Linked DNA regions of Nothobranchius furzeri. The main gene of each other region encodes a partner of the protein of the gene in region 2 in a complex. Links are inferred from orthologs where the notes say so. Each region holds a gene or a part of one and is shown on either strand. Other genes may lie near its edges.

What was found.
Region 1: the proteins of gle1 (region 2) and nup42 are in contact, whole or in part, in a crystal structure (PDB 6B4I), measured with the Homo sapiens proteins. The link is inferred for Nothobranchius furzeri from reciprocal best matches to the Homo sapiens genes GLE1 and NUP42. Residues at the interface, in NP_001003722.1 of Homo sapiens: Ile385, Ile593, Leu598, Asn599, Trp602, Arg603, Ala606, Gln607, Leu609, Asn610, Gln636, Tyr637, Gln638, Val639, Gln640, Lys643, Met644, Ile646, Leu647, Glu650, Asp651, Tyr652; in NP_001357375.1 of Homo sapiens: Asp185, Asn186, Val187, Leu188, Phe189, Gln202, Phe203, Gln204, Ser205, Lys206, Lys207, Phe208, Leu210, Gly211, Lys212, Ile213, Pro214, Leu215, Lys216, Pro217, Pro218, Leu222, Leu223, Asn224, Val225.

Annotation. Positions count from the first base shown.
Region 1 is NC_091751.1:29,849,030-29,853,454, forward strand, and holds the start of nup42 (nucleoporin NUP42), read left to right. Parts: upstream 1-1,411; 5' UTR 1,412-1,532; coding exon 1,533-1,680; intron 1,681-2,036; exon of another isoform or gene 2,037-2,159; coding exon of another isoform or gene 2,160-2,169; intron 2,170-2,392; coding exon 2,393-2,666; intron 2,667-2,750; coding exon 2,751-2,839; intron 2,840-2,916; coding exon 2,917-2,993; intron 2,994-3,093; coding exon 3,094-3,180; intron 3,181-3,262; coding exon 3,263-3,365; intron 3,366-4,256; coding exon 4,257-4,425.
Region 2 is NC_091750.1:38,709,592-38,714,074, forward strand, and holds the start of gle1 (mRNA export factor GLE1), read right to left. Parts: upstream 2,802-4,483; 5' UTR 2,694-2,801; coding exon 2,595-2,693; intron 2,171-2,594; coding exon 1,952-2,170; intron 1,840-1,951; coding exon 1,678-1,839; intron 1-1,677. UniProt on the Homo sapiens protein: Required for the export of mRNAs containing poly(A) tails from the nucleus into the cytoplasm. May be involved in the terminal step of the mRNA transport through the nuclear pore complex (NPC).

The DNA.
Region 1 (4,425 bases), on a different chromosome or scaffold from region 2:
TGTCACTGCTATTGTTTTTCTGATGTTTTTATTGGTTTGAGGTATTTGCCCTGATTTTACTCATGTTGTACAGCGCTTTGTGATTTATATCTGTGAAAGGAGCTATATAAATAAACTTTACTTACTTACTTACAAAACTGGTTTATTTACATTTACCACCAGCAGCTAAATGTAGCACTTATCAGAAATAAATACTAAACTACTAATATTATTTTTACATTAAAATTATAATATTATCACTAATTAAAAAGGAAAAAAAGATGAGCCTTTGTTCCCTAACCCCCTCCCACTAGAAGAAACTCGACACGTCTCAACCATAGATATGTATATACAGTAAAATAAAGTATTTATTATTTATTTATTTATTTATTTTTAAATAGGGTTATTAATCAACAAAACATGGCACATTACAATATTCCATTCTTAACTGGAAATACAAGCAGACAAGATAAATAAAATGAGGAAAAGTAAATAAATAATAAACAAACATAATATAAATAAAATGCAAATTGAGTGAAATAGTCAAAATGAAAGTAAAACAACTGATAAAGTGCAAAACATCATTCAATAAATTTGCTAGGGTTTAGCATTTAGTTTGTATTTCTTCACAGAGTCATTCATAGTGTAGGCTTTGGAGCCTTTCATGAATTTCAAAGAGAAGTGATATACTAATTCTTTACGAAATGCAATGAAATTAGGGCAGGTTTTAGCATAACAACATTTGTGTATGTAAAAATTTCCAAGGATAATTATAACATTTAAAGCAATATAAATATTGTGCTTGGCTGTAAAACAACATATTAATATGTTTTCTTTAGAAAGTTTTGGTGGATTAGCCTCAAAGCCAACCAATTCTCTAATTCACTCTTTACAAATTCAGTCAGTGGTTTCTATGTCTGCATTACAAAATGAGCAGCCATTATGTTCCAAGTTAAATCGATGTCTCAAAAGCTCTCCAGATGGATAAATGCAATTAATAATTTTAAACTGCATCTCTTTTATCTTTGGATCAACTGGAAGCTTGAGAAAAAAAAGACTCCTTGCTTTTTTTCCACTTTCATAAGATTATAGGTGAGAAGCTGTTGGCTAAGAATGGATGCAGCTCTTGAATAAATAACTGTCTTATTACAATATTGGATAACATTTTGTCGGTAAAAGAACATCCATTAAGCATAAGTTCAGGGAGTTTTGGACTAATGTTATTGTGATGAAAATTGGAGGAGCTTGACAAGACAGGACTCAGAATTGCTTTAATAACCTTCTGATATTGTTCCTTGACAGTCAACTTGAATTTGGAGCTAAATGGTTCATGAGACAACAGATTTCCAGAGTAAATATGTATATAAACACTGTCAACCACGTCTCAACAAAATTGACCATGTGGGGTTGCTGTCGCCAAAAAGATGACGTTCCCAATACGTCATCGGTTTGCGACTTGGAGTATAAAGACGGAAAAAGTTTTCGTAAACATCAAGCCGTTTGGGGCATTTTGCCCACATTTTACACTCTTTTCACACTAATCCTGGTTCAGAATGGTCGTGTGTAACTTTTTCCTTCAGGGCCGGTGTCGTTATGGGGAGAAGTGTTGGAATGAGCACCCCAGAGGCGGAAACAGAGGAGGTTATAACGACAATTACAACCGCGCTCCTGACCAGCAACAGTCCAGACGACAAGGAGGAGGTAATTCTGTTTCACAGGCAACACTTTAAACCCCTTCATCACTTACAAGTGTTCAGTCGTGGTCCACACGTTTGTTTTTCCTTCCTACGTCACGCTGCTCTGTGACGTTTCACCTCGACCAGAAGCAAATGAAGGGAAAGGACTGGTCCAGACTTTGCTGTGGTTTGCATCAGATTTCCTTTTTAACTCTATTTTTGTGCATATTTTATAAACTCTTCTTCTTACTCCAGAGGAACTTTCTGGATAATATTCCTCAGCCTGACTTGTTGCTGACAGTTGCTCAGACACGTTGATCTGGAACAGTTTGTCTTGGAGGAGGTCTGACAGGACTGTATTGAAGGCAGAGCTGAAGTCCATGAACAGGATCCTGGCGTAGGTACCCGGGAAATCCATATGCTGCAGGATGAAGTGTAGAGCCATGCAGATGACATCATCTAGACCTGTTGGCTCTGCAGGCAAACTACAGGGAGTCCAGGAGGATGTTAAAATGTAAAAACCGTGAAATCAATACTAGTTGAAGTCTTGGATTTTAAAGGACCACCTGCTTCTGTCCTTTAGTACATTTTCTTACCCTCACAGTCTTAGAAACATGAAAACAATCACATTAAAGTTAATTTTAACCTGTTCAGCACTTTGGTCATCTAATAAAGGGAATCGGTAAGAAAGCTTTAGATTTCACAGCCACTAATTTCTTTCTGTATGCTGGTTCCAGGGTTTGGAAACAAAGTTTGGGTGAATCCTTCCCAACAACGAGGCGGCTACATCCAGCCTTCATCCTTCTCCCAGGAAAGGGATGACTGGGGTTTTCGGGGAGGAGGGGGGAGAAGAGAGAACCCGAAGAGCTCTGAATTCTCATTCTCCAATCAAAACCGATTCTCCGCCTTCAATTCTTCAAACACATTTGATAGGGGAGGAAGAGGAGTTGGAGGAGGAAGAGAAGAGGGAGGAGGAGGAAGAGTAGGAGATGAAGATGAGGATAAAAAACTGTGAGATTTTGTTTTTACTTGTTGTGATTTGAAAATCGATTTCTTCTTTGTCCTAAAACCGTGTGAATATTTCCCCCTCATCAGGGAGATGATTCAGACAGACATGGGTGTTTGGGAGAGTTCAAAGCAGTGGGGCTTCTCCTGTTACTCCTGCGCCAAGGCTTCCATATCTGGTCTGTAGCAGTAATGCGTCGCTCCAGCTGTTTTATAACAGCAGGACTGGTTTTAACGTGCATGTTTACGTCTGCAGGGTTCACAGATCTGTCTCCAGAGGAGCTCAGGTTGGAGTATTACACCGCCAGAGCCTCAGGGGATCTGCAGAGCTACGTGAGGAGAAATCCACTCACTGTTAATGCTTGTTGTTTGTTTTGATGCAAAAACATGGATTTTACACATTTATCTGTAATCTCCTGCTCTGTGTGTTTAGCTTAATGGCGTCAATCAGCTGCTGAGTCAGTGGAAGAGCCGAGTCCAGGAGCTGAAGGTCATGAGTCCCACCACGCGTTTAGCTTTGGTAAGACGCCGCTCTAACGCTCGCATGTCTGTTTACAGTCACCATTTGTGGTTTAATATTTATAATTTACATTTGTCTGCAGCTTGCAGAGTTGAATGGGAGCGCTCCTCAGCCGTCCTCCAGCGGCTTCGGTTCTGCAACATCGACCGGGTTCGGCTTTCCCACGTCCAGCTTTGAAAACAAAGGTTTGACTTTTCTGTTGGAGCTTTTCTTAAACGTGTGTTTCCTTAAAAAAAAAAAAAGTTCAGATCATCACCCACAACTCTCAACCTCGCCATCAAAACCAGTGTTTAGATGTAAGTTTGAGAACTGACATGAAGTGGCTGATTTCTAGCTTCAGGCACTCTTTTAATCTGGATTAAAATCAAGAACTATTGGATTTTCTAATAAAATGAAAAATAATAAGATGCTGAAAGAATCTCCTGTTGGTTTATGAATGTAAAACCAAAGGTAGGCCGGTTGGTGATGGCCTCACGACTCCTCTTATTATTATTATTAATACATTTTATTTAAAAGCACAAAGAGGCAGCTCGCGGGCCATGTGCGGCCCATTGAGGACCACTGTTTTACCAGCTGGTTGTTTCTAAGGGGTCTCAGAGCCCTATTGGGTGTTTATACAGGAATGAGATCGGACATGTATTTTGGTCCCATGCCGCTGAGTGATTTGTAAACTAGCAGGAGCACTTTGAAACCTATTCTGTAGTTTACTGGTAACCAGTGTAGGGATCTAAGGACAGGAGTGATGTGCTCCGTTCTCTTAGTTCTTTTAGAGACTTTCTTGTTCGTGAAAAGTTCATCAACTCTGCATCAGCTGAGGTATTCCTTAAATTTGAAGCAGGTAAGCGGTAGTCTAACGCTATTGGTTAGTTCTGGTCGGTGCTCAGTTTCCAATTGTACGGAGCTCTGCGGGGCTGGGGACGTGTTTATCAAAAAAAAAAGACGTATTGCTTACATTACATCACAGTACGCGATAAGATAAATACTTTTACGGATTTCTGAAAAACCATACATACTTTCTGAAAGTAGAAAACTCCAGAAAGCTACTTAAAGCTGATTCAGTTTTTCTGACTGTGCAGGATTCGATGCCCCGCCCCCCCCTCAGGCCAGCTCCTTCAGCTTTACAACTCCAACCAGCGGCTTTGGCTCCTCGGCTGCTCCCCTGTCATCCTCTACTGGCGTTGGTGGCACTCTGCCAGCTCCCACACAGCCTCCTTCTGGGTTTGGGTCCTCCTCTACACCTTCAGC
Region 2 (4,483 bases):
TCCACATGATTAGAATTTTATCACATTCAAAGAATAGATGTTTGGTCGATTCATCGTTTTGTTTGCATAAGTAACATTTTTCCACATTGAACTTAAATCTAGTTTGCATAAAATGGTTAGATGGGTAAATATCATTCAAGGTTTTAAAATGGACTTCTTTATACTTTGGGGGTAAAGAGAATTTTAGATACATGAGGTATCTGACCACAGAGGGATTTACATTTCAGTGGTGGAAACAAAACTCATTGCACACTGCTGCCAACTAGCGGTCGTCATTTGAACTGCACCAAAAGAAAAGAAAATAGTACACAAACGTTTGCACGGAAATTCTTCCAAAAACTTGATGCACGGTTTTTCAATATCGATATATCGCAGGAAACATTTTTGTGATGTATTGCCATATCGATATTTTCTTACATCCCTACTAGCAGGTGTTTAAAAGTACTAAGTCAAGAGAAGACAGCAAGCTTCTCGAAACAAATGTGCAGTTTTGGAGACACACGACATGCCTGGAGTAAAACATACAGCACCGCGTGCTCGAATCCGGTCATTAATGGTTGGTGAGGTAAAACCAATTCAGCTAGTTTAAAGGGACTTTACGGAGTTTTGAATTTTTATGCTCGCAATTGCCCCCTCAGGCCAAAAGCGTAACGGCAGCATCAATGGTAGGCTCGTGCACGAGGCGCGCATGCTGTACGTGCACACTCCTTAATGAAAATAACAGCTGAGACAGTCCCTTGTGTGTGTGTGTGTGTGGCCCGGAGGACAGAGGACAGGAGAACACGCAGCTAATTAATTAAATAATGTGGTTCTGTACCTTTCTCTTTAGCACAGCCGACAAAGGTTTATGATGGGTCAGTCCTCCTGCATGCTCAGATCATTCCCTTCCCTTGCTTGAAAAATTGTTCCTGAATAAAAGTTGAACCCACATCTTTTTTATTTGTGAATTCAATGCCGTTCGGCGAGTCTCAAATAAAAATTTGGCCATCTTACTGTAAGAAAATATACCATTAATGTAAAAAAGAAAATCTAAATGAACTATGTTCACATCCAGAATCAAACTCGGATCTTCTGCATGAGAGTCCAACGTTTAACTAGGTGAGCTAAAACGCCAGTAATGTCTTTCGTGTCTGTAACATTTATATCCTTGATGACAGCTGAAACAACGTTCAAAGAACGGTTCGGAGCGAAAATGGCTATTTTGTTGCTAATTTGCAGGAAACATCTACAAGAAAGTTCTACAGAAAGTAGCTAAGGGTCCTCAGAAATGTAGCTAGCTTTGTCACTAGGAGTTAGGAACAGCGACAAAGTGGCACTGCCTCTCTCTCTGCTGCTAAAGCTCCGGATAGCAAATGCTACGGGCTATGCCTGAGCGTGAACGTGCATGAAGCAGCCTGCTCGACCCGAGCATCTCTCTTTTTCTGTGATTTTACAGAAAAACAGGCAATCACAGTAAAAATGCCAGGGCTCATTCTACAGGACCAGGGCATTGCAGGAGAATGTATTATTTCTATACATGTTTTGGCTGTCACACTTCCATAATGCCCCTTTAAATATTGTAATTGTTTGTATGTGGGGGTTGTACAAATCCTCAAAGCAAATAGTTGTTTGTGGTTTTAAAAAACCTTCTATGACCACAAATATCCAAGATGCAGAATAAAGGAATCTCTGCCTGACCTTTGCCTTTTTCCGCTGCCCTTCTTCAAACAGGATGATGCATCCGGCGGTCTCCATGGCTTTAGGAGACAGCAGGGACATGACAGGCAATGGCACGGGATTGGAAACGTCACTGACGTCATCTGCCTCTGGACTTTCACTCTGCACCTCATCACAAACAGTCTGCAGCACATCAAGTTGAGATGGTGACAAAGTATTCACAAAAGCTCATCCAAAGATTCTCCAGCAGAGACAAACATCCCAGTCAGAGCAGTTTACATTCAAAGTGCTGTACCTGGTCGTAATCATGGTTTAGCGAAAGAGCTGAAGAGAGGATGCGGTGTTTGAGATCGTTGACGGAGCTTGTAGAGGAACCTGAGGCTGGAGTTTCTTCTGCTGTGATTCTCTGATCCAGGAAGGAGGACTTCTGTAGGGACACTGGATCGATCCGCTCCAGTATGACCCTGGCGTGTGACGATAACCCGAGGGTCTCTGTACATCCAGCTAAAATATGCTACAAGAACACGACACAGGTCAAACCCACAGCTAGACTAGATAAAACAACTTCTGAATCCAAGTAAACCATCCCCTAAACTGATAAATGACCTTTATTCCATAAGCAAACAGTCATTAAATCAGTTAAGATTCGGAGAGATTTAACCGTTTGTATATATCTTTATTTTCACACTACTGTCATTGTCTCTTTTTGTGCTGATTATTATTCTGCATTTTTTGCTTTAGCGTGTTATATTGTGTTTGTTTTCTGGTGAATTGCACCGAGAGTTCGGAAGAAAGGCTAAGTTCTGGTTCTGTTAGCTAAACAGCCTTGTCAAACAACTGCATGGAATGATTTTATGAAATGTTGGTGAATGTTTATGTTTGAAATAAAACGAACTGAACTGACCTAAACTAGCGCTAGCCGCTAGCTAACTTCTTACCTCGCCCCGTTCCGACCAGCGAGGGTCAAACACCACTTTTCCTTTGGGAGAATTTTTTAACGCCTCTAAAGTTTCCCATCGTAAACTTTCGGAAGGCATCCTGAAACAAGCTATAATTTAAAAAAAAAGAGGAACAAATGCGGTGGGTGGTGGAATCAACGAAGAGGTTACATTAAAAACAGTCCGCCAGGAAACAGTCTTCCGTGGGTTATGGTTCCGCTTTGGCACTTTCACCTTTGCCCCTGCCCGGCCGCGCTGTTGGGAAGGTCCAAGGAAGGTCCCGCCTTTTTCGTCTGACTGGCTAGACGGGCTCTCCTACAATTGGCGTTGTGGTTTAAGTGGCAATACCAAGTTTTTATATATAGATATTTATATTTTTAATTAAATGTCTGTGATACAACATCAGGGAAAAAGAACACGAGAAACCAGAGAAGCACCAGGACCTCGAAGAAGAACTTGAGCAAGCCTGGAGAGTGAAGACATAGGTGGTCATCAAACCCTAACCCTTACCCCAGACTTGAGGAGTGGCTAAAGCAGATCCCAGAAAAACACGAAACTGCAGAACCCTCAAGCTCCCAGGCCTCTGGTGGAGGACCCGAGCATAGGAAGAGACCACGTGAGATGGGAATTTAAAGAGCAAGTCACCCCCAAATCAACTTTTTTTTGCTGATAAACTGTATAAATGTGTGTCTAATTGTGTTGCAGACACGTGTCATCAATAATTTGGTACTTCAGTGCATCTTAAATAAAATTTAAATATTCTGCCTAAAACTCAGTGTTGCGCCGTTGTCAGGTAAAATCTCTGCACTGCATTTGAATTTAAATCTGCCACCGCTATTGGCTAAGAGGTATGCTATGATGTAAACTGGTACATTATGATGTCACAATGCCTTCTCGGTCTGCTAGGCAACAGCATTTGTTGCATTTTTCAAACATGAAAAGGGAGTGAAGTAAGTTGCTTGTAGGGGGTGACTTGCTCTTTAAATATATAATTCTATATAATAGTATATAGAATGATATCTTTTACATCATTTCATTTGTTTTTGGTTTCATTTGTTTTGCAACGTTACATTTATAAATCTAGAACAATAATGGAGAGAAAAAAATAAATCTTTTACTCTAAAGAAATGCTGAGTGATTTTTAAACTTTGTATAAAGCAATAAGTTGTCAATTAAATTATAAGGTTTACCGAGAAATGGCTAAATATGAATAAATATCAGATGTAACTCTGAAATGTTTAATCTCAAGTACTGAAAAAAAAAGGATTTTCCCTTAAAAATCTGCAGCAGAAGTTCTGAGATCCATTCAGAAAAATCACCACTGGAGTTCTGGGAATAAAAATGTCAGACAAAACTATTTTATAAAATGTTTAATTAGTAAAATTCATGAATTTTTGATGTTAATTTAGATCTAGCAATGTTTTGGTAAAAATGACAACGCATCAACTTCCAATAAAAGAATCACCAAAAACGTTTCCATAGGAGGTTTTGAGAAAATGAACGTAGTTCTGGAGGCTGCGGTTGGTAGAGTCGGACCGCTCCAGCCTTTCTTTTAAGTTCTGCAGCTGAGTCTTAAAGCGACGCTCCATCTGGAACAAATAAAACATTTAGTTTATTCTTCGCTGTCTCTAATGGAGCACATGTGTTGGTGGGAGACCTGCCTCTTCCTTGCTTCTCTGTAGCTGACTCAGGTCTGTGTTGGCTCGGCTCAGCTGGCTCTGCAGCTCCAACGCTTTGGACTGAGATGCTCTCTCCTTGGTCAAAAGCTTCTGTAAGCTGTCATCCACCTGCAGGCAGAAATGAGTCCTTCACAAAGTGAAAGGAGAGATCTGAGCACGATGAGCACGTGGAACATCTCCATCTTTTCGGACCTGTCTCTGAGCATCATC